Linked DNA regions of Xenopus tropicalis. The protein of the gene in region 1 purifies or fractionates together with the protein of each later gene. This does not show direct contact. Links are inferred from orthologs where the notes say so. Each region holds a gene or a part of one and is shown in the gene's direction. Other genes may lie near its edges.

Region 1 (8,307 bases):
TGCCGCCAGTTGGACAGCCCCGAGGTTCAGCTTGCTTTATGTTTAAAATTAGGTAATACAACAAAATATGATTTAAAGTAAGTTTTGGTACTTTTTTTTTTAATAGGTCTGCCCATTTCAGCACGTTGGCTATTAAGCAGAACCCCCTTCTTGCAGAAGCCTATTCGAACTTGGGCAATGTTTATAAAGAGCGAGGACAACTTCAGGAAGCTATTGAACATTATCGGCATGCTCTGAGGCTAAAACCAGACTTCATTGATGGATATATTAATCTTGCTGCGGCTTTGGTAGCAGCTGGTGATATGGAGGGCGCAGTACAAGCTTATGTGTCTGCTCTTCAGTACAACCCTGTAAGTTATTCTTTGTATGTTTAAATGGACAGTACCACTTATAAATGAATTCTTGAAAGTCCACATACAAATGGGATCCTAGGACAGCATGGAATTGTATGACAAGCTACAGCAGCCTTATGTCATTCAGTTGAAACCCACCCCTATGTTGCTCCAATACCTATTCCAATGTGGTGAATTCTGTTTTTTTTTTTTTTTGTGTGGGGGCAAGGGTATATAGCAAATAGGGTATATAGTTGGTTCAGTGGGAAGAGATTAATCGAATGTGATAGTGTTGAAGTACCCTCAGACCCTATAAAGGGTTAGCCTAAGCAAACATTTGCTTCCAAACCTTAACATACTTTATGCTGCTTTTGTCCATTGTGAGTGTTAAATGTGTTTCTGTATTTTAATCCTATTTTTGTCTTTCTCTTTTACCTTTTCGACAGGACTTGTACTGTGTCCGTAGTGACCTGGGTAATCTTCTTAAAGCCCTAGGTCGCTTAGAAGAAGCTAAGGTAGGTTTTCAGTATATTGATAATCAATGTACATGCCAATTCCAGTGTTGCAAAACCTTTGCTTTGCCTTAAAGCTTTATAACTAGTGTATACAGTAACATGTTAATCAAATGGAGCTGTACATGAAACGCATGATCCGAGGAGTATCGTTTGGTTACACAACACCTCAGGTTTGAGGAGTTGTTCATCTGGTTTCTTAAACTTTTACTATTTTTAAAGGCATCAGTCCTATCCTTGGTTTACTAAATTGACCAAATTCATCTGGAATTGGTCCCCTGCTCTCCAGCTCATCATCTGATGAACATAAGGGGGACTGCAAAGCCAAAACAAAAGGCCCATCCATTTTTCTCCTCTAGCCCCCTCTTCCCCCCAGTGAATGTTGCTTTTTTTATGGAAGAAAGGCTGTTTTAAAGTAAATGCACATCTGACCCAAAAACTTAGTTTGCACTCCTATTCACAGCAAAAGGACAGAGGCTGGTTTGTATTAAGAAAATGGACTGATAGAAAGAAACTAAGAATTTAAAGGTGGCTTCTAGCAGTTGACAGTTACAGACTTGGTAAATTGTAATCTATTTTTTGATGTTTTAACAGGTTTGCACTTGTTTGTAAACTTAATGTGAAATACAGCAGTCATGTTACAAGCCACCTTGTGCGTCTGCGCTGCTAGGAAAAGGGGTTGGGAGAAATTAGAGGACATGTGAAATCCCCCTGTTACTCCACACCCCACGCGCCTGCAATTGCTTGGAGTGCGAATGCAGAGTAGCTGTCCATGTGTAATGAGACCCATGGGGAGGGTTACCTTTTTATAGAATTCACTATTTAAATTGGTACCAAAAGGGTCAATTTCAGGTTAGCACATCCTTTTATTTTTTAAGGGGCTCTGATTTTTAATTACCTGTTATTGTGGTTCTCAGCTCTCCATTTGGACAACTAACACATATTGCACTTCACTGCTGCTTCGGCGACACTTGCATAGGAGAAGTCTGCGCTGGCATAGAAATGCTGATTTCTTTATTTCAGAGTTCTGGAAGCAACTAGCTTGAGAAACTGTTCTTTGGCAAGGATTTAAATATACATGAACAAGTTAACTGAATTCTTTCTCTGTAATCAGTGCATTTCCAATATCAAGCCAGCTGTTTCCTGGTTGTTTAAGAGCAAAATTAACATAGCTGTTAGAACCATAAAGCCTTTCTTCCAGTCGTGCACTTTTCTGCCCAAACTTCCTGCATGATAAACATTAATAAAAAGCAAGCTTGACATGTCCTTGTCTGAATCATAGAGCATATCCAAAAACATTTCACTTGCTTTGTTGAGATCTTTTACTAATTATATTGTTTTATTTTCTCTCCTGTTTTGGTTTTTACCACTGATATTGTATTTAGAAGGTTTCAGGTGGGTGAAAACTGCTATTCCATGCGTAAGGTGCCTCGCTGAAGGGAGCTCGAGGCCTGGATCTAGGCAGACATGCACCTCCTCCTCTTCCAGCAAGGAACGCACCGAAAAGTCACATGAGAAATATGGTAACGGGTTTGTAACTGCCACAACAAAAACCATTTGCTCCATGCCTGAATCCTTCTGTCTTGTGGCTTCAGAAACCGCTTAAAATATTTTTAGTAACATTTAAAAGACGAGACTATATACCATTAGCCACAATTCTTTAAAGGAAACTGAGTAAATATGTTTTAAAAGAAAAAAAAAACCGGAGCTAGTTTAGTTGTAAGCTTCTAACTCTTCCAAATGTTCATTATTTTTTTTCCTTTTTTTTCTTCTTTGTTTGGACTGAAGCGTTCTGCTCCTCATCATGCGCTGTGAGCCTGCAGTAGCGCAAAGGCTGCGCTACGATTTGCGCTGTGCGTGGGGATTAAATTGTGTGAACAGTCAACTTGATGGTTAACTCTTGTTTAAGGCCTCTGGGTTAAGCATTTCATTTGTGGGGAGCTCATTCATGGTTTAGTTTAAATGGCTTTAGTTCTGTCCCATGTTAATGCTTCAGGTTGGCTGTTGACATTTGCCAGCGACTCGCCGAAGCGCAGCAACTGCGTAGTTTTGCTGACTAGCATTGGGCCGCCTGCGAATCTTCGCGCCTGCGAATCTTCGCGCCTGCATTACAGGGACCCTAACCTGTATGCAATCTTATCATTTTTGGTTTTCGTGATGGCACCAATACCTATTTTCCAATGGATAAAACAACATAGAAGAAAAAGAGCTGCAAAGACATTAAAGTGCTGTTTATGGGATACCCCCATAGTAGTAGACCTTCTTCATTCTTTATTAAGGCATAATTAACAAATGAAATTGATACTGTATGGAACTTCTGTTTACCATTTGGAGAATGGTGGTTTGTGATCAGGAGATTTTATTCTTTTTAAACTCTAGACAATTAAAATATTACAATCCAGTGCACATCAAATCAGCTTAACTAAAAAATGGAGGCTTGCATTTAGGTAAGGGTTTGCGCTGGCGTAGGATTCATAGCTTGCGCAGTATTTGAAGCGCTAGCGAGCCTATGCTGCAGGGTCACTTTTTCCTGTTTTGAGAATGAATTCTGACATTTCTCTCTTTTTTTTTTTTGGAACCCCTCTCCTTCCTTTCCTGTCCCACCTTCCTTTGCTTTGATCCTTTAAAGGCTTGTTACCTCAAGGCAATTGAAACACAACCAAACTTTGCAGTTGCTTGGAGTAATCTTGGATGTGTATTTAATGCACAAGGAGAGATCTGGCTTGCAATTCACCACTTTGAAAAGGTATTTCTGTACTCATTCTTTGCCAAGTTATTTACTAGCTTTTCCTTGTCTGGTAATGCTTTTGTTAGGGGGAGAGACCCCCTTTACTATTACTAATCTTGCAGCAAAGGAACTGGGAATGCATATATTTACCTAATGTATAACTAAAGGGTGCAATTTCCAGACAAGCCATAATAGTGTAGTTGCTTATGTACAGGGCCATAGAGTTGAGTCCTAAAGTTTAGATATGCCTGTAGTAAAAATCTTCAAACAACATATTTTTCCAGCTTTACTGTTACCTTACATTGCCTGTGTTAAGTCAAATAATGTACCTAGAATTTGCTATGTAAGGTAATTTAAAAGTAATTGCTTTGCTACTAGGTTTTTTCAGCTTTTATTTACCATAATGGAATTTTAGGACTATTATTATTCATCCAAAAGTGTGTAACATGTAACATTTTATAAGTTTGTAATAGATGTATCCTACTTTTTGTTGCATTCCTTACTAAATTTTTTTTTTTATTGTACTTTATTGAAATTTGTTTTAGGCTGTAACTCTTGATCCCAATTTCCTGGATGCTTATATTAATTTGGGAAATGTGCTGAAAGAGGCTCGTATATTTGACCGGTAAGAAGACTTGTGAAGTTAAACTTGCTTGTTGCTGTAGAATCTGATTACAGGCTAATTTTTTAATTTTTAAGACATCCGTTCTACATTGATTGAATGGTTTATTTGTCCCCCCACAGAGCAGTAGCAGCATACCTGCGAGCCCTAAGCTTAAGTCCAAATCATGCTGTGGTCCATGGAAATTTGGCTTGTGTGTATTATGAGCAGGGACTTATTGATCTTGCAATTGACACCTACCGTCGGGCCATTGAGCTGCAGCCACATTTCCCTGATGCCTATTGTAATCTTGCCAATGCTCTCAAAGAAAAAGGCAGTGTAAGTACATTTTTTTTTAATGTGTTTCTTCTGTGTGTTCAAGTTGAAGCTACAACACTGATTTTTATTTTGTTTTTTCTTAAGGTGGTCGATGCAGAGGAATGCTACAATACAGCTCTTCGACTCTGTCCTACACATGCAGATTCTCTCAATAACTTAGCAAATATAAAGAGAGAACAAGGAAACATAGAGGAGGCAGTGCGGCTGTATAGAAAAGCTCTTGAGGTAAATATACTATTGATTGTTGCACTAGGAACATTTTAACCATGATGGATTTGTCCCTAAATTATTTTTCTGTCTGCAGGTTTTCCCTGAATTTGCAGCTGCTCACTCAAATCTAGCTAGTGTATTGCAACAACAAGGAAAACTTCAGGAGGCTCTGATGCATTATAAGGAAGCTATTAGGTACATTTAAAATAGGTACATGTTTTCATTTCCTATTACATATTGGTTAGTGGTGCGATTTACATTTTTGTTTCTGTTTTCTAGAATAAGTCCAACCTTTGCTGATGCTTATTCTAATATGGGAAACACTTTAAAGGAGATGCAAGATGTCCAGGGTGCATTGCAGTGTTATACTAGGGCAATTCAGATAAATCCAGCTTTTGCTGACGCTCACAGTAATCTGGCCTCCATTCACAAAGTAATTTACTTTCTAATGTGGATTAGCCTTTGGGGGGATTTGACAAAAATTAAAAAAACAGAAACGATAATTTATTTTTAACAATTTCAGGATTCTGGAAATATTCCAGAGGCAATTGCATCATACAGGACAGCACTGAAACTGAAGCCGGATTTTCCTGATGCCTACTGCAACCTTGCTCACTGCCTTCAGGTAAGAGTGTGTATTAATGGTATTCTGGATTATGATGTTTTGTAAGAGCTCAGTAATTGAAGTGAAGGAAAGGTGTAGGCATAAACTTGCCAAATAGTTTATTTTTTAACGTTGGATGTGCAGTTAGCATGTCCTTCATACCCTTTTTAAACTGGGTTTTAGCAAGTGAATAAGAGATGGGTTTTCTCTTCCTCTCAAGTGCAAAATTTATATTGAAATTTATAATTAAAAGGTTTGACTTCTTGGGTCTCTTTGTTTTTTATTGTGGCACGTTGACCAAATTTCTGACCTATTTTTTTTTTTGCTGTTTCTGTGCAAAAAAAAAAAAAAAAAGTAAAGTAACTTCTGCTACTGGGCTTCATTCCTTGCCAGACAATCAACTTTTTCCCATTTTTTTTCTTTACTATCTTGGATACTGTTTCCATCTTTTACAAGAATGTGGGTGACTATGGTTTTTGTTTCCATGACCTAATTTTTCCAGAAGAAATCCCACCCCATTTGTTGGTGATGATGGTTTGTCTCCCACATTTTTTTGCAGTGGGACAACACCACAAAAGACTGCAGTGCCCTTGAACGTACTTATAATCAGCAACATTACCTTGAAAGTCCTGCATTAATACTGTTTGCCTTTTATTTGTTAAAGGAACAGTAACACTAAAAAATAAAAATGTTTTAAAATAATTAAAATATAATGTACTGTTGCCCTGCACTGGTAAAAGTTGTGTGTTTGCTTCAGAAAGACTACTGTAGTTAATAGAAATAGCTGCTGTGTAGCCATGGGGGCAGCCATTTAAATTGAAAAAAGGAGAAAAGGCACAGGTTACATAAGAAGATAACAGATAACTGTGTAGAATACAATGGGAATCTGCTACTTATCTGTTATCTGCTTAGTAACCTGTGCCTTTTCTCCTTTTTTCAATTTAAATGGCTGCCCCCATGGCTACACAACAGGGTATTTATATAAACTGTAGTAGTGTTTATGAAGCAAACACACAACTTTTACCAGTGCAGGGCAATAGTACATAGTATATTAATTATTTTTATACACTTTAATTTTTTGGTGTTACTGTTCCTTTAACTTCTTCACTGGTATTTTAGAGCTACAACAGTATATCACAAGCCTGTCTAACTGTTGCATGCAATTGCTGCTTTTCTCTTCTAGTTATAAATATGGACTCTTGTTTCTATAGATTGTTTGCGACTGGACAGATTATGATGAGCGTATGAAAAAGCTGGTCAGTATTGTTGCCGACCAGCTAGAAAAGAACAGGCTTCCTTCTGTCCATCCCCACCACAGCATGCTCTACCCACTGTCTCATGGTTTTAGGAAAGCAATTGCTGAAAGGCATGGGAACCTGTGTTTAGATAAGGTAAGATTGCATTTTAAGATGTGAAAGATATTTTATCATTGTGCATATTTATGGAGTTCCATTATCATGAATTGGGTTCTTTTGAGCGGTTTCAGAATAGCACAAATTACTTGTTACAATTTGTACTATTTATATTGCAGATAAATGTCCTTCACAAACCACCATATGAACACCCAAAGGATTTAAAGGCTAGTGATGGGAGACTACGGGTGGGATATGTGAGCTCAGATTTTGGAAATCATCCAACTTCTCACCTCATGCAGTCAATACCTGGCATGCATAATCCAGATAAATTTGAGGTAAGGTGTTTTTTTTTTTTTGTTTTTTTTTTATGGTTCTACCTGTCATTGTATGGAGATGGGAGTATGGCTCAGTGCAGTTTAATGCTTTTAAATAAATTTCTGCTTTATATAGCACAGATCTACCTCTAGGTCCTTTTTTATGTAGTTTTTTTCCAGCCCAACATTTAAAGGTTAGATGGGCCTTACTACTTAAATTCCTGCTCTGGGACACTTAGTTGGTGCTGTGATGTACCCCAGCACAGACTTTTTAAATCTAAAAACTTGTTTAGGATAAATTTCTGTATACCTTGTACATAAAATAATATCTTAAGATGTGCTGAATTTGTTTCAGAAGCAGAGCTAGAAGCTGTTTTATTGAATAGAGTAACGTTTCTGCTTTAAGCTATGCACATATGAATCAATGCACACTAAGGTGGATGTACTAACATAAATAGGCTTACATTGGGTGTTTTACAAATAGATTTGCTTCTGACAGTTTTATATTTTTAATTTTTTGTTTTCTGGGTTTCTTAGTTTTCTCAGTTTTTGAATGTGTGTCATTATAGAGGTTGGTGATGCAGATGTTATGGTTGTGCTCATAATAAGTAATGGTGCTATCACCACAGTATTAAAAAAAAAAAATGCCAAAAAGTCAGGACTACTTGTATTCTTAATTACCTGAATATGAACATGCCCTTATTGACATCTCATAGGATCTGAATTTCATAGTATCTGTGGATAAACAAAATATAACCCTTAAAAACTGTAGATCCTTGAAGTATAGTATGATACGCCCATTAAACTTACTAAAATAGTGCTGCAATATCACCTTTTTAAGTTTTTTGTTTTTTTTATAGGTTTTTTGCTACGCACTCAGCCCTGATGATGGCACAAACTTTCGTGTAAAAGTGATGGCAGAAGCAAACCACTTTGTTGATCTGTCCCAGGTATTTTCCTTTTTTTATATCTGTAAAAAAGCAGTGGCAGAGGGGGCTCAGCCTTGAGGTCAGTTAAGGTGAGAATTAAGAAAAATGGTGATTAGTCTCTTAAATCCACCTTCAAGCCTAATTTTAAGGTTGAATAGGCATACATTTGCTGATACTCTTGAAACAGTGACTGATACACCAATACTTCCTATATATACTCATTTCATGAACTAATAGGGGTCCTGACCAAAAGTTGGTCCTTCAAGGAGGAGCCCTAGCCAAAGGTGTTGGACCTTCAAGTTGGGCTTTTCAGTTTTCATTTCTGTAACTTGATTTGTGACAGTTGACCATCAACGTTTGGCCAAATTGCACACTGATCCAGC
Region 2 (8,307 bases), on another chromosome or scaffold:
TACTGCAGCCCCCCGGCTTCTGCTTCCCTACTGCAGCCCCCCGGCTTCTGCTTCCCTACTGCAGCCCCCCGGCTGTTACTTCCCTACTGCAGCCCCCCGGCTGTTACTTCCCTACTGCAGCCCCCCGGCTTTTACTTCCCTACTGCAGCCCCCCGGCTTCTGCTTCCCTACTGCAGCCCCCCGGCTTCTGCTTCCCTACTGCAGCCCCCCGGCTGTTACTTCCCTACTGCAGCCCCCCGGCTGTTACTTCCCTACTGCAGCCCCCCGGCTTTTGCTTCCCTACTGCAGCCCCCCGGCTTCTGCTTCCCTACTGCAGCCCCCCGGCTTCTGCTTCCCTACTGCAGCCCCCGGCTGTTACTTCCCTACTGCAGCCCCCCGGCTTTTACTTCCCTACTGCAGCCCCCCGGCTTCTGCTTCCCTACTGCAGCCCCCCGGCTGTTACTTCCCTACTGCAGCCCCCCGGCTTCTGCTTCCCTACTGCAGCCCCCCGGCTGTTGCTTCCCTACTGCAGCCCCCCGGCTGTTACTTCCCTACTGCAGCCCCCCGGCTTCTGCTTCCCTACTGCAGCCCCCCGGCTTCTGCTTCCCTACTGCAGCCCCCCGGCTTCTGCTTCCCTACTGCAGCCCCCCGGCTTCTGCTTCCCTACTGCAGCCCCCGGCTTCTGCTTCCCTACTGCAGCCCCCCGGCTTCTGCTTCCCTACTGCAGCCCCCCGGCTTCTGCTTCCCTACTGCAGCCCCCCGGCTTCTGCTTCCCTACTGCAGCCCCCCGGCTTCTGCTTCCCTACTGCAGCCCCCCGGCTTCTGCTTCCCTACTGCAGCCCCCCGGCTTCTGCTTCCCTACTGCAGCCCCCCGGCTGTTACTTCCCTACTGCAGCCCCCCGGCTGTTACTTCCCTACTGCAGCCCCCCGGCTGTTACTTCCCTACTGCAGCCCCCCGGCTGTTGCTTCCCTACTGCAGCCCCCCGGCTGTTGCTTCCCTACTGCAGCCCCCCGGCTGTTGCTTCCCTACTGCAGCCCCCCGGCTGTTGCTTCCCTACTGCAGCCCCCCGGCTGTTGCTTCCCTACTGCAGCCCCCCGGCTGTTGCTTCCCTACTGCAGCCCCCCGGCTGTTGCTTCCCTACTGCAGCCCCCGGCTGTTGCTTCCCTACTGCAGCCCCCCGGCTTCTGCTTCCCTACTGCAGCCCCCCGGCTTCTGCTTCCCTACTGCAGCCCCCGGCTTCTGCTTCCCTACTGCAGCCCCCCGGCTGTTACTTCCCTACTGCAGCCCCCCGGCTGTTACTTCCCTACTGCAGCCCCCCGGCTGTTGCTTCCCTACTGCAGCCCCCCGGCTGTTGCTTCCCTACTGCAGCCCCCCGGCTGTTGCTTCCCTACTGCAGCCCCCCCGGCTTCTGCTTTCCCTACTGCAGCCCCCCGGCTTCTGCTTCCCTACTGCAGCCCCCCGGCTTCTGCTTCCCTACTGCAGCCCCCCGGCTTCTGCTTCCCTACTGCAGCCCCCCGGCTTCTGCTTCCCTACTGCAGCCCCCCGGCTTCTGCTTCCCTACTGCAGCCCCCCGGCTGTTGCTTCCCTACTGCAGCCCCCCGGCTTCTGCTTCCCTACTGCAGCCCCCGGCTTCTGCTTCCCTACTGCAGCCCCCCGGCTTCTGCTTCCCTACTGCAGCCCCCCGGCTTCTGCTTCCCTACTGCAGCCCCCCGGCTTCTGCTTCCCTACTGCAGCCCCCCGGCTTCTGCTTCCCTACTGCAGCCCCCCGGCTGTTACTTCCCTACTGCAGCCCCCCGGCTGTTACTTCCCTACTGCAGCCCCCCGGCTGTTACTTCCCTACTGCAGCCCCCCGGCTGTTGCTTCACTACTATTCCCAACAGCCAACGAATTGCTGCTCATCCAAAGCTGGCTGGTGCAGGGTGGACTTTCCTTAATGATCTAATGCCCCCAAGGGGGCCCCAGGCTTGTCAGGGGCCCACTGTTCCCTGGGATACTGTGCTGAAGGAAGGGGCTGAGTGTAACTAGAAGACAGAGAAGAGTGGGGGGGGGGGGGGGGGGCATTGGGGAGACAGGCAGGGCAAGAGACTGGCCAAAAGTATGCTTAGAGATTCCCAGTGTGAAATTTAAGAGAAGCCATTTTGGCCCAGTGCTACAGGCAGCGAGAGAACCACAGAGAGTGAGACAGAGGGGCAGCTGGGAGAGACCGACACAGCCACATATCAAAGCCTTTACAGGGGCAGCAGTGGGGTGTTTAGTTATAGTGTTTGGCTATAGAGTGACACGCAGGAGACAGACATTAAGGGTTGTTTACTAGGGAATCTTTCTGACAGACAGGATGACATAGAATATATTTGCTAGGAGATTGCATGGAGTAAATACATTTCAGAGGAGGGGATAAAATTGTAAATCAAGAGACTGATGGACAAGGTTGGCAGACAGGCAATGAGAGTGCAAGAAATGGAAGAGATTTAATATTGAAGCTTGCAGACCGCACAGACCAACACTGAAGAGACAGACACCATGGGAAAGGAGCGCTTGCAGTGCAAAGACGGAGGTGTGTGACAGACAGAGGAGCACGTGGTGGAGAGAGCGTTCTAAAGGCAAACAATGGGAGTGAGCAAACAGACGGGTGCAAGAAACCAAGATGGCTGCACGTGACACCAAACAGAAACCCACAATCTGACTGGAGAGCGGGAGATTGTACTGTAAATTGTAGCAGTTTGGTTCCGAATAACCGACAGCAGCCGCTGGATTGAAACTCGCTGGATGATATAAGGACTTACTTTTATAGGAGGAGCGAGTGGCGCCATGTTATAGTAATGTCTGGGCACCAACGACAGGCCCGCGGCCTAAAAACAAAATGAGACAGTGACTGTCCGATTTCTAACAAGGAGCGTGTAGCAGTTTAAGGCAGTCAGGATCATTTTAAAGGCCAAGTCAGCCACACAACGAGAAAACATTTAATGGGAAGTAGTGGAAAAGACTAAACCAGATAAGCGCAGGGTTGAAATGCAGCACGGTATGTTCCATAAACTGTTGTACTGTCCCCTTACAGGTCAGATGTCCCCAGATGGAGCCCGAGGGCGAAAGTCACAGAGGGGCGGGCTTCCAGTGGAGGAGCTACAAGTTGCTGTTGGATCCCGCATTGCACAGTCGCAGAACAACGCAGAAAGTCTATCGCTATGATGGAATCCACTTCAACATATCCGTAAGGCCTTTACAGCCTGTGTCGGGGGGGTGGGGAGCATTATTATGAGTGGCTTCCCGCAGTTTGCGGTCTGTGATTATTGTTTTATTATTTTCTTTATAAAGGGGTAGTTCACCTTTAAATTAACGTTTAGTATAATGTAGAGAGTGCTGTTCTGAGGCAACTTGCATTTGGTCTTCATTTTTTATTATTCTCATTTTATAAATTTATTTAGCTTTTTGGTCAGCAGCTGCCCAGTCTGAAATTTCAGCGGCTATCTAGTTGCTAGGGTCCAATTTAACCTAGCAACTACACAGTGGTTTGAAAGAGACACGGGGTTATGAATAGAAGAGGGCATAAATAGAAAGAAGTCATAAAAAGGAACCATAACAATAAAATCGTAGCCTCGCAGGGCAACAGTTTTTTGGCACTGGGGTCAATGACCCCCCATTTGAAAGCTGAAAAGAGTCAGAAGATGAAGGCAAATAATTCAAAAACTATAAAAAATAAAAATTGAATAGCTTCTAAGACTAGGCCATTCTACAACATACTAAAAGTTAACCTATCCCTTTCTGATTCATCTTACTGTGTGCTGTTTAAGCTACTTCTTGGTTGTTAAGGGCAGTGAGCCTGGCAACCAGACAGCAGTTTAAATTCCAAACTGTATCCATGGCTAAGGTTTGGTAGGTTACTTCTCAGCCAGGGGTATCGTTTAATGGCTCAGTCGCTGAGTGATGTTATTGCTTTGCCCTTAGGATGGAGCATTCCTCCCACTGGGGGACGTGCGGGACCCCCGACAGCATCGCATGTGGAGCAAACCACGAGAGATTTCCCTCCCTGTTCCTAAATTTAAGGTATGCGGGTAATATCTGCGCAGAGCGTGTATTTCTGTGGGATGTGCTTTGTATTTCTGGGCTCTGTACCTCCTCTCATTGGGAGCGAGATTTCACTCTGTAACCCCCCCCCCGTTTGTTAGTTTGATGAGTTCTACGTGGGACAGCTTCCCCAGAAAGAAATCACTTTTGCGCATCTCAATGACAACGTGCGGGAGCCTTTCCTGGCCGACATGTGCCGCAAGTTTGGGGATGTGGAGGAAGTGGAGATACTGCTGCACCCCAAAACTAGGAAACACCTGGGGCTGGCCAAGGTCCTCTTCTCCAGCTCCAAAGCGGCCAGGGACACAGTCACTCACCTCCACAATACGTCTGTGATGGGCAACATCATCCACGCCGAGCTGGACCTCAGAGGTGAGGGGGCAACGGACTCGGTCAGAGCTATGTGGCCAGTAGTATTGGGACAAGTTTTTAGCCAAATGTTTTTGGTCTTAATTAAGATGTCAGAGTATTTAAAAATGGCAATTTGCCATCTGGCAGTCTAACGGGATTTGACAGGCTGCGTGCATAATGTTTGGCAGAGCAGCAATAATGGGCTGGGGCTGAATCCAGCGGTTGGGCTAGGCCCAAACAGCTCACTCGGTGGATTAGGATTTTTATATATATATATATATATATATATATATATATATATATATATATATATATATATATAATATTATATTATATTGCTCCTTTTAAAGCTCTCTGTGCTATTAGATTGGGGTGCAGGTAACGGTGGCAAGTTAGGAGCATGAAGCTATAAAACATGGAATACTGGGAGCAACCATTAGTGTAGGAGAGAGGGAGGATATAGATGGGGGGGATCAGTACATGGAATACTGGGTGCAACCATTAGTGAAGGAGAGAGGGAGGATATAGATGGGGGGGGGGGATCAGTACATGGAATACTGGGAGCAACCATTAGTGAAGGAGAGAGGGAGGATATAAATGGGGGGGGGGCGGGGGTCAATACATGGAATACTGGGAGCAACCATTAGTGAAGGAGAGAGGGAGGATATAAATGGGGGGGCGGGAGTCAATACATGGAATACTGGGAGCAACCATTAGTGAAGGAGAGAGGGAGGATATAGATGGGGGGATCAGTACATGGAATACTGGGAGCAACCATTAGTGAAGGAGAGAGGGAGGATATAAATGGGGGGGCGGGGGTCAATATATGGAATACTGGGAGCAACCATTAGTGAAGGAGAGAGGGAGGATATAAATGGGGGGGCGGGGGTCAATATATGGAATACTGGGAGCAACCATTAGTGAAGGAGAGAGGGAGGATATAAATGGGGAGGTGGGGGTCAATACATGGAATACTGGGAGCAACCATTAGTGAAGGAGAGAGGGAGGATATAGATGGGGGGATCAGTACATGGAATACTGTGAGCAACCATTAGTGAAGGAGAGAGGGAGGATATAGATGGGGGGATCAGTACATGGAATACTGTGAGCAACCATTAGTGAAGGAGAGAGGGAGCATATAGATGGGGGGGGGGGATCAAGTCGTTGAAGGATTCTCATTGCAGGCATTTAGATTTTTTTGTTATTGTTTTTCAGGTCAGCAAAGACAGAAATATTACGATCTGATCGTGAATGGCTCGTACAACCCCCAGACAGTGCCAACGAGTGGGAGATGGGCACAGGAGAGGCTGCAGCCAGACATGGTGGGTGATTTTCACACGTTCCAGGTACAAGTTCTGGGTTGTGTCGGCGCCATCACTTTATTAAATGTGTTGTTGTCTGTCTCCAGGTGGACTCCAGGCGCAGGCTTTCCAGCGACTCCTCCTCCTACCTCCCAAATAACGGAACCCCTTCCTCTCAGGATCTCGGCTCTTCCTACAGCCAGTATACCCCCTCCTCCTCCCAAGGCACCCCCTACACTCCGCGAAGTGGCACCCCCTTCTCTCAGGACTCTGCCTATTCCAGCAGGTAGGGGGCCAGATGCAAAAACCATTGACCCCCAAATCCCACTTCTACTGGCCTCCAGCCCAGTGATGCCCATTAAGTCTCTATTAGAGTATCATTTTGATGAAGCAGAACTTGTCCAACCAACAGTCCTTAATGTTTCTCTTTGTTTTGCAGGCAGGGGACTCCCAGTCATTCCTCTTCTCAGGACACTTCGGGATATAAATCCAGGCGTCAGGAGAACAGTTCTGGGGACTCCTATTCCCGTCGTTCTGGGCACCACTATTCCCCAGCCCCGTCTTCCTCTACATCCTCCTCCTCCTCCCAGCACGAGAGCAGCCAGAAACGCTTTCACAGGCACCAAAACCGGTCCTCCCCGCAGTCATCTTATCGCTCTCGCCACCGCAAACCACCCCCACCCCCAGAAGAACCCCCTCTGATTCGCTTCCCTGGGACGCCACCTCTGCCACCGCCGCCACCTCCTCCCCCACCCCCTGATGACATTCACACGGATCGTGATTACCGAATAGCCCACCCTCCTCCTCTTCCTCCTTCCATCCCTGCACCTTCAACGACTATTCTGGTGCCTCCACCTCCTCCTACTGAGGGATGGGAGCCACCGCCTCCTCCTCTACCTCCTCTGCCACCGGTCTGTTCTCCTCCTCCTTCCCCAGCTCGTTCCTGCTCCCCACTCCTTGATGGTGTGTCGGAGAGTCTGCCATTCACACAACACAGCAGTAGCCTGGACTCTCGCATTGAGGCTCTGCTGAAGGAACAGCGCTCAAAGTTCTCCTTCCTGCCCTCAGACACTGAGGAGGAAGAGGAGGCAACAACAGAAGCACCTACTCAAGAGCCAGTAGTAGTGGAAGAGGTTCCTCCTGTTCATGGTCCGTACACCCCTCCCTTACCCGCAAGCTTTGAGGATGTATCGGCAGAGGCTATCCTGAGAATGGCAGAGATTGGCAGGACAGCAAATGGCCAGGACCGGGTGAGAATTTACATTTACACGGTTTTGTCTTCAAATCCCTTTAAAGCAGTGGTTTTGGCCTTGAGTTTGACTGTGATCCCCCAGGTTCATAACCAGGTATAAAACCATTGCTGAGGTAAAACTCTCTATGGCTCTTAGAGCAAACGTTTTAGTTCCTGGGCGGTGGGGCAGTTTCGCTGTCTGGGAACCACTGCTTTGAAGGGATGAAGGTTGGGGGGCAAGGGTGTGTGGGCAAGTTAGCGGTTAGCGGTTAGACGCACACAGGTGACTCCAGGTGGGCAGTTGGCTACTTATTGTAACTATAGAGTAGATAATAAATACAGTTAGTATTCCCAGAGATCTTTCTCATTTAGAGAGAGGCTTCATAGAGCTATGAATGTGCTATAAACTATTCATTGAATCAAAGGGAACATACCCACCTGTATAACTGCTGAAAGCTACCCCCACTGCAGTGCTTTCCAGACAGGGGGACGGCACATTAACAGAAGCTTCATTGACAACAACTGAGCAGAGAAGCACCAGGAGATGCTTCCTGTATTAGTAAAACTAACCCCAGTATGAAATAAAAGGCACTAAGTTTGCCCAGGAGCAGTTACCCATAGCAAACAATTAGATGTTTGCTTTTAAACAGGTGACCAGTAATTGCTACCTGCTGAGTGGTTGCTATGGGTTACTGCTCCTGGGCAAACTTAGTGCCTTTTATTATATACGGGGGTCAGGTAATGCTTCCTGGCTTCAGAACTGCACCTAATATAAGCATTATTTTTTTTTTTTTTGCTAGAATATTTATTGGGCTTTGACCAAACCATGTTGCAAGTCATATGACTTTTTTTTTTTTTTGGCCAAATATTATTACACAGTGTTTTAAAGGGGATATAAACCTGTTGCACGCTGTAAGCAAATTCAGTTTGAAGTCGTTTTCCAATGGACATTAATAATTATTTGTAAATGTAATTGCTACTGAAAGCAACGCCTCTGTCCCTTTTGCTTCTCTCTATTTCCCACAATGCCTTGCCTGTGCGGTGATTCTCCTCTTTTACAGGTCTGTTAATAACCGGACATGCAATGCATTATGGGAGCTGGAGTCTGACTACATCTATGTCTTATTTCAGTGGTCAGAACCAGCAGTGCAGAGATGGGCAAAGGGCAGGCAGATACGGCTTTCAGTAGCCTTGACAGTTGAGCATTTTACATTTAGGATTATTTTCCTTTATTATACAAAGTAGAAGTTGCCATTTTTGTGTGTGGAGGTTTCAGTTCTTGGCTGAATCCCCCCCCCCCCAAAAGTTGATTTGGTGCATTCCTGGTGTGGGGATTCCGTGTGCGTCTCTAACTGTCGTACCTATATAAATCATGGATCATT
Region 3 (8,307 bases), on another chromosome or scaffold:
TTAGTAGACGAAGCTTGGCCTTGAAAATGGACAGGTAACTTTAAAATGCCATAAAGGAACCTGCATTTAGGGCAATTGGCCCACACATTCCTTTATAGGGACGGGCAAGTAACCTCTATGTGTCAGATTCCTATGTACAGCCACCCCCGTCAGTCAGGGCTTCGCTATGGGTCACCCATTCACCAAGCACCCACCCCAGTCAGTCAGGGCTTCGCTATGGGTCACCCATTTACCAAGCACCCACCCCAGTCAGTCAGGGCTTCGCTACGGGTCACCCATTCACCAAGCACCCACCCCAGTCAGTCAGGGCTTCGCTATGGGTCACCCATTCACCAAGCACCCACCCCAGTCAGTCAGGGCTTCGCTACGGGTCACCCATTCACTAAGCACCCACCCCAGTCAGTCAGGGCTTCGCTACGGGTCACCCATTCACTAAGCACCTACCCCAGTCAGTAAGTGCTTCACTACGGGTCACCCATTCACTAAGCACCCACCCCAGTCAGTCAGGGCTTCGCTATGGGTCACCCATTTACCAAGCACCCACCCCAGTCAGTCAGGGCTTCGCTATGGGTCACCCATTCACCAAGAACCCACCCCAGTCAGTCAGGGCTTCGCTACGGGTCACCCATTCACTAAGCACCCACCTCAAGCACCTACCCCAGTCAGTAAGTGCTTCACTACGGGTTACCCATTCACTAAGCACCCACCTCAAGCACCTACCCCAGTCAGTCAGGGCTTCGCTATGGGTCACCCATTCACTAAGCACCCACCCCAGTCAGTCAGGGCTTCACTATGTGTCACCCATTCACTAAGCACCCACTCCAGTCAAACAGGGCTTCGCTATGGGTCACCCATTCACCAAGAACCCACCCCAGTCAGTCAGGGCTTCGCTACGGGTCACCCATTCACTAAGCACCCACCTCAAGCACCTACCCCAGTCAGTAAGTGCTTCACTACGGGTTACCCATTCACTAAGCACCCACCTCAAGCACCTACCCCAGTCAGTCAGGGCTTCGCTATGGGTCACCCATTCACTAAGCACCCACCCCAGTCAGTCAGGGCTTCACTATGTGTCACCCATTCACTAAGCACCCACTCCAGTCAAACAGGGCTTCGCTATGGGTCACCCATTCACTAAGCACCCACTCCAGTCAAACAGGGCTTCGCTATGGGTCACCCATTCACTAAGCACCCACCCCAGTCAAACAGGGCTTCGCTATGGGCCACCCATTCACTAAGCACCCACCCCAGTCAAACAGGGCTTCGCTATGGGTCACCCATTCACTAAGCACCCACCTCAAGCACTCATTACATCTCCATCAAGCCGACTCCACCCACTAACGGCAATCGGTCAATGTAGAGCACAAGTGGCCCATAATCACTTGTAAAATAAAGATGTGTTGAAATATTTGATTACATATCTCTAGCAAATCCTGCTGGCAGAATTACCCAGTCTGTGTTGGGCAAAGGGGTCTGTAACCTGGGGGCAAATTCATCAGCAAAGCAGTGTTGCCTTTACAATAACTTGTAATGTCATTGATGGATCTATTCAGCTTCTCCGTTGCCCAATATCATTATTTTATTTTTTTTTCCTGCTCCACCCAAATGCCACCCTGGCCGTCACGGTGACTGATCAGCAACCAAACACACTGCAATAAAAACCTCCTTTCCTCCATTTTACGCCCTATTGTGTGTGCAGGTGGATTTGCTGAAAAGATGACACAGTTGAGTATAATGTGTAACCGGGTTTTCCCTTTTGTTCTTCTGTTGCAGCTGAAAAGGTAGAGGAAGTGGAAAAGAAGCCCGAAGTTCCTGCTTCTCCTCCGGCCAAAGCGTCCGTCCCTTGCCCTTACACCAGCATGGTGATGAAGCCAATCTCCTCGCTCCCAAGGATACCCAAGAAGGATTCCCACTCCACAACCCCCATCAAACCGCTGCCTAAACCTGCTGTTAGTTCCAAAAGCCCCATACAGAACAAAGGGGTCCGTCAGCCCACTAAGCCTGCCGACTCCAAGCCGTCTCCTGTTCCCAAAAAGCCTCCGGCTCCATCACTGCCTTCTGCACCGAGTCAGAAGAAAGCCATTCCCTCCAAGTTGCCTTTGGGTCAGAAGAAGTCAGCTGCCCCCTCCCCATCTACTAAAGTTGCAATGGGAAACCCACCCCCAAGACCCACAGCCAACACCTCACAGCCTACGTCCAGCACCCCACAGTCTGCCCAGAGTTCCTCACACCCTGTGCCCAACATGCAGATCCGGCAGAACATCCGGAGGTCTCTGAAACAGATCTTATGGAAGAGGTGTGTTTCATGGATGATTTTTAGTCATTTTCCATATTTGTTTTATTGGACAGTCAGTGTACGACCCTCCTAAAGGTCCCCTGTGCCCACAGTAAACAGAATTACACTCTGGTTATATTAGTTTAAGGCAATATACAAAGTAATGCACCCATACATGCATTTCGTGCAATTTCCAGACTGTCTGAGCTCAGAATTATCCCAATACCATGGGGATTGGCCGTTTAGTCGATGGGGCAGGTTAGAAAATGTCAGTGGGATAAGGAAAAAATCAGCGTATTATTGTATATCTGCCCTTAAGGGCCCTACAATGGGAGTCACTATCGTACGATTGGTGCCTGTAACTATTTCACATTCAGAACATCCTCCCATTGGTTATATTTAGGGCTTTATCCTACAATATCAGGCTCAACATGAGTAGATCGATCAACCAATATCCGAACGTTCCGAAACACCCATCAAAGATACAAGGAAATGTTAAATATGAATATAATTACCCATAAACGGCAGAATCCAACTAGTTATAATGTAACGAGACGTGTGATTGGCTGTTCCCTGTGAATAAGTGTCTGTTTGTGTTTCCAGAGTCATTGACAGCGATGACCTGGTGATGGTGGAGAACGAGGTTGCGAGGATCGCCACAAATATCGAAAGGGAAATGTTCAATCTGTATCGGGATACGGACAGCAGGTACAAGGCCAAGTACCGCAACATCATGTTTAACCTCAAGGACCCAAAGAATCAGGTTTGTGGCACTCTATTTACTGATGTGTGTGTGTGTGTATCTAGGGCGGCACCGTTGCCGTCTCCTCGCCGATGCTCATTGGCATTTAGTGATGCTGTTTAACCCTTGCCAGTTCCTCTCAGCACTGCAGCGACCCATCTGAGCTTTTGTCATTTCGTCATTTTCTAAATTGTCCAATGGTTTTTACTCCTAGGGTCTGTACCACCGAGTCCTCAAAGAAGAGATTCCCTTGGCGAAGCTTGTGCGGCTAAAACCCGAGGAACTCGCGTCTAGAAAGTTATCATCGTGGAAAGAGACTGGATCCAGATCAGTACGTTTTTTTTTCTTTTCTAAAGCACCTGATCTTTATATGGGCAAAGGTTCCGCAAACCCACAGTATGAGGGTGTCTTGCACAGACAGTAGTTGTGGGTTACCTAAAGCTGGCCATATACGTGAAGATCCGCTTGGTGAGGTCGTCAAGCGAGCGGATCTTCTCCCAATATCCCCACCAATGGGTGGGCGATATGGGGGAGAATGTAGGCTAATTATAATGGCGGCAATGGGGCAGTCTGTTCGGGGACCACATCAACGAGCCAATACGGTCCCAGATCCGACTAAATCTTTTAACCTGCCTGATCGATATCTGGCCAATTTCAGGCCAGATATTGGTCGGGCATGCCCCTCGTTCCTGCCCCTACACAGGCCAACTCAGTCCAAGGGACCGATATCGGCAGCTACAATCAGCCCATGTATGGCCCCCTTTACCCTACCTTGAAATAAACCTGTAATCTGCTATCCTAAGGCCAAGGCCACAGTTGTCATAGTGACGTGGTTTTTTAGTAATAATTCCTTTTTCTTTTCCTCTTTTGAAAAAAAGGGTTTGGTCCTCAAAAGCAAGGCTCGGATGGAGAATAAAATTCCTTCGATGAATCAAGCGGTTGACATGGAGGAGTCCCCGCCGATGTCCGATACAGACACGGTAAGTTATGGGTTATAAGTCCACTATACTATAGAAGTCTTTGGGGTTCCTCTGTAGGACGTTCCCTAACAGTGTTGCCTTGCGTGTGTTCCACAGGAGCAGCAGGAGCCGGCGCAGGCCCCGCCGGAGACTAATACTTCGGTTCTTCCGGACATATTCAGCAGCATGTTGAGCGACACTACGAGCCAGCATCGTGCCCATCTTTTCGACCTTAAGTGCAAGATCTGTACAGGTGAGCAGACTTGTACCAATGGGTAACTGGAGTGTATACGCAATAGACATTGTTTGTGACCCGTACTGATGTATTTACAGGCCAGATTCCTGCGGATGATGAGCCTCCCTATAAGCGACCGAAAACCACCACTGCAGCTGCCAAGAAGCCCGACCTGAATTCCAAGCCGGAGCCCAAAGAGGAGAGCAGCGTTATACCCCCTCCCCCAGAACCAGCTGAAAATACAGAGTCCAATCCACCCATGGAAATCTGTGATAATGCAGAGAATATCCCAGAGGCAGCCCCATTACCTGTGCCCTTACCCTCTGAATCCCCTACTCTCCCCGACCCAATATATTCCAGTCACGCCCCCGTGTACCCCTCTCCTGCTCCCGTCACCACTGTCACCGTATCGGGCAGAGACCCTAGAACAGCCATCAAGCGCCCTCTGACCGTCTCTTCCAACCCAGACATCGGTGCAAGGTCTTCACGCGAGAACGAAGAGGCGCCGACGGAACCACCCAAGCCTCTTCTTCCTCAAGTCTTCTCTATGCCCAAGTCTATTCTCTCCAAGCCACTTCCCTCGGAGAGCCGATACTTAGCGTCCGCATCGCCAAACATCAAGTGCGTAAGCTTAGCCTGCTCTCTTAGCCACTTTACTCCCAAGGGCCAACAATACTGTCCGTTATATACACGTCCTGTAGGCTTGCAATCAAATGGGTACCTCAGACACAATCCTTTTCCATATTCACAGGTTATACAGTAGATAGAAAAGTTTGGGGGGGGCTGGGGTGCTTTTTGCCACTGCTGTACCTCAAGCAATCTTATTATGGATTACAGCAATACATTTGGGATTTATAACCCTGACTGGGCCTGACCAGGGCCGGAACTAGGGGTAGGCAGGAGAGGCAGCTGCGTAGGGCGCAACAATTAGGGGGCACCAGACAGGAGCCTGTCCTGCCTACCCCTAGTCTGCTCTCTTTAGTAATTGCCCCCACCGCTTGTCCTTATGTGGTGGGGGCAATGAACCATCGAATCGCATCTCGAACTCCACCCCCCTCCCTGTGACTGCACATGCGCACGGGGGGGATCAGGAAGGTGCAGGGGCGAGGTGGCCGGCCGGGTTGCCTAGGGCCGCCCCTAGGTCTGAGCCATTCTGCTTGGGGGGTACTCGTACATGTAACATCCAGTAGCCAATTAGAACAGCCCTGAGAACCAGCACAAGTCCTAGCCAATCACAGTATCAGATACTATCTTAAGAAGAATAATGTGAAATGACAAAGTTGCCAAATGATCTAACGTGGACCGTTATTTTGTCAGCTGTGGGATATTTAGTAGATCCACAAATATTGGATTGAGTGGAATTTTCTTTTTTTCTTAAACTTCCATCGTTTACTTTTCGCAGCTTGACAGAAATGCGGCCACCCAAAGAAGGGGATACGTCTCTCTTCCTCTCTCGTCTGAACCCCATATGGAAAGGATTCATAAACATGCAGTCCGTGGCCAAGTTTGTCACTAAAGCCTACCCGGTGTCCGGCTCTGTGGAATATCTCAATGAGGTTTGTTCCCCTTATTAATAACGACCCCCCCCCCCATAAATATCTGGGCCAATTCATTGTGAACTCACTGGGTAGAAAGTTGACTATGAAGATTTGCATTCATCCAGGTCATGGTTTATCTAGTATAAATAAATCTAAAGCAACTTAACTGGTTAAGTAATCACTGAAGACGTTTCACTACTCATCCGAGCAGCTTCTTCAGTTCTACTGACTGGTATGGGAAGTCCTCAGCATATATACTCTTCCACTAATCCAATCACAATGGCACTAAGTGCCAAGAGTATATATGCTGAGGGCTCCCCATACCAGTCAGTTGAACTGAAGAAGCTGCTCGGATGAGTAGTGAAACGTCTTCAACGATTACTCAACAAGTCCAGATTTATTTGTGTAGAAAGATCTATTATTTTTTTTCAAGTGGATTAATGGTTAATTTTTTTCTGTAGGATTTACCAGACACGATCCACATAGGCGGAAGGATCTCTCCGAAGACCGTCTGGGATTACGTTGGGAAGCTGAAGTCCTCTCAGTCAAAGGTAAATGTCTGAAGCCCCCCTCCCTGTCTCTATACTGCCCAAGGCAAATACCCTCGGAGCAGTGATTGGTACCTGGCATCCGTGCTCAATCACCCTTTGTTGCCTAATGATCTGGAGCTTCTGATGCCAAATACAAGTGTGAGACTTCTGTCTGTGTGTTTCTATAGGAGTTGTCGCTGATCCGCTTCCATCCGGCCACAGAAGAGGAGGAGGTGGCCTACATATCCCTATACTCCTATTTCAGCAGCCGCTGCCGATTCGGAGTCGTAGCCAACAATAACCGTCACGTCAAGGACCTGTATCTGATTCCACTCAGTGCCAAGGACCCAATTCCCTCCAAACTGTTGCCCTTTGATGGACCAGGTGAGTTGCTCGGTACAAAAGAGAGAACCGTTAATCCGTGTTGCAACCCAGAATGCTCCCCCCTCCCTGCTTCCTACACACAAATAAAGCATTTTCTGAAAACTGGTGATTGTTTTCTTCGGATGAATTATACTCTTTATACATTCCAACGGGCGTCTGAGGGCTTTTAGACTTATGGGGGATGCTGCACAGCATGGAAAGGAATATCCCGGAAGCAGAAGGAAGATACGGAAGCCCAACTTCTACAGAAATCCCAGCATCTCCGTGGCCTACGGGAGAATGAGGCAGATTCCACATACAATGAAATGCATCTGGCACAGAATCATCCATTCGCTCCAGAAAACTCCATTCCCAGCTGATAAAATGGCGTTACATTGGGCTCATCGTTATAGGCCAGGATTATTCCACCTTCACCAGCCCCATAGGTCCCAGTAACGTTGAAGACACACAGAGCTACTAGTAGCAGTTACAGAAACAGACAATGCTGATCGATTATTGATAATTGTCTCTCCATGTGTTTTAGCAGAGGGAATTCTCACTATTGTCTATGGCAGGGGATTTACTGGGGTTTATAGCCATTACAAGTAGCTGCTACTATGTAGCTCTGTGTGTCATCCCCCTGTATACACTTTCACCCATAACCTAGTTAAGTTAATAACAACTGGCTGCACACATAAGGAGGCAACCCCCAAAGCCACACAGCGTTGTTGGCACTTCGACCACACAGAAGTAAAGCTCCCCTGATTGGGTAGGGGGGCAAGAGGGTCTGTTTTGCAGCCCATTATCCCAATTGCAGGAAGTTTACACTAGTTCTATCCAATGGTTTCCATGCAGAAGGCAGAGATTTCATGGGTGGGACAATAATGAACCATAGAAAGCCCCCCCTGGTTCCCAGCTGCACAGCCTTGGGGTATATAGTGGTGTCGGTACATTCCACACTGATACCTGTGGATTATCGTCCAGCAAATATATAACTGCTGCTCCATGTTTATACACTCGTACATTGGTCTCGGGGCAGGTTAGTCTATGCTGCTTGGTCCCAGGGTTTAGGAATATAGTGGGGCAAGAAGGGCTTCAGCCGTTGGGGTAAATGTTACTTTAGACACCCTATAGGTCATGAACCAGCACCTCCTACCTTTATTAGAGAAACCCCTTCAATGAATGTTCCTGTAATTTATTATTATTCAAGTATTTTTAGTAGCAGTCCAGGATCCAATCACATCTCAGTTTGGAAGCAAAGATTCAGCCGAACAGTAATATCTGTGATCTGTTTGCTCATGAAATGTACATCCCCCCCCCCCCCCCCCCGATGCCGACACTTTGTTGCATTCCCGAATCTTAAAATTTTCTCGTTTTCTTCTAGGGCTCGAAGCGACGCGTCCGAACCTCATTTTGGGCCTTGTCATTTGTCAGAGGAACAAGCGTCCAGTTACCAGCGAGACGGAAAAGTTGGAAGATAAACGAACGAAAAGTGGAGGCCAGGAGGATACGGAGGTGGGGAATGTCACTAAAGGGGCTTTGTCGTCTCAGGCAGAAAAGATGCCTCATAAATATCAACCCTATGCCGGCGAATCTGTCAAAAGTACGGCTCCTCCAGGTTCCCCACCTCCTCTCCCAGAAGCACTTGCAAAAGTAGTTGCTCCA

Evidence for each region. The genes of interacting proteins can lie anywhere in the genome.
Region 2: the proteins of ogt (region 1) and setd1a purify together in Homo sapiens (affinity purification with mass spectrometry; 4 studies listed by BioGRID and IntAct, with this or other methods). This does not show direct contact. The link is inferred for Xenopus tropicalis from reciprocal best matches to the Homo sapiens genes OGT and SETD1A.
Region 3: the proteins of ogt (region 1) and dido1 purify together in Homo sapiens (affinity purification with mass spectrometry; 3 studies listed by BioGRID and IntAct, with this or other methods). This does not show direct contact. The link is inferred for Xenopus tropicalis from reciprocal best matches to the Homo sapiens genes OGT and DIDO1.

What each region holds. Positions count from the first base shown.
Region 1 is NC_030684.2:44,072,540-44,080,846, reverse strand, and holds part of ogt (UDP-N-acetylglucosamine--peptide N-acetylglucosaminyltransferase 110 kDa subunit), read left to right. Parts: intron 1-106; coding exon 107-350; intron 351-778; coding exon 779-847; intron 848-2,229; exon of another isoform or gene 2,230-2,355; coding exon of another isoform or gene 2,356-2,367; intron 2,368-3,473; coding exon 3,474-3,590; intron 3,591-4,117; coding exon 4,118-4,197; intron 4,198-4,316; coding exon 4,317-4,512; intron 4,513-4,596; coding exon 4,597-4,737; intron 4,738-4,816; coding exon 4,817-4,917; intron 4,918-5,001; coding exon 5,002-5,155; intron 5,156-5,245; coding exon 5,246-5,347; intron 5,348-6,537; coding exon 6,538-6,717; intron 6,718-6,857; coding exon 6,858-7,016; intron 7,017-7,855; coding exon 7,856-7,945; intron 7,946-8,307. UniProt on the Homo sapiens protein: Catalyzes the transfer of a single N-acetylglucosamine from UDP-GlcNAc to a serine or threonine residue in cytoplasmic and nuclear proteins resulting in their modification with a beta-linked N-acetylglucosamine (O-GlcNAc).
Region 2 is NC_030685.2:5,879,138-5,887,444, reverse strand, and holds part of setd1a (histone-lysine N-methyltransferase SETD1A), read left to right. Parts: intron 1-3,035; coding exon 3,036-3,188; intron 3,189-3,922; coding exon 3,923-4,021; intron 4,022-4,143; coding exon 4,144-4,414; intron 4,415-5,608; coding exon 5,609-5,715; intron 5,716-5,801; coding exon 5,802-5,980; intron 5,981-6,133; coding exon 6,134-6,944; intron 6,945-8,307. UniProt on the Homo sapiens protein: Histone methyltransferase that catalyzes methyl group transfer from S-adenosyl-L-methionine to the epsilon-amino group of 'Lys-4' of histone H3 (H3K4) via a non-processive mechanism.
Region 3 is NC_030686.2:2,430,934-2,439,240, forward strand, and holds part of dido1 (death-inducer obliterator 1), read left to right. Parts: intron 1-1,773; coding exon 1,774-2,296; intron 2,297-2,878; coding exon 2,879-3,038; intron 3,039-3,231; coding exon 3,232-3,348; intron 3,349-3,895; coding exon 3,896-3,997; intron 3,998-4,093; coding exon 4,094-4,229; intron 4,230-4,309; coding exon 4,310-4,832; intron 4,833-5,613; coding exon 5,614-5,767; intron 5,768-6,210; coding exon 6,211-6,300; intron 6,301-6,467; coding exon 6,468-6,663; intron 6,664-8,026; coding exon 8,027-8,307. UniProt on the Homo sapiens protein: Putative transcription factor, weakly pro-apoptotic when overexpressed. Tumor suppressor. Required for early embryonic stem cell development.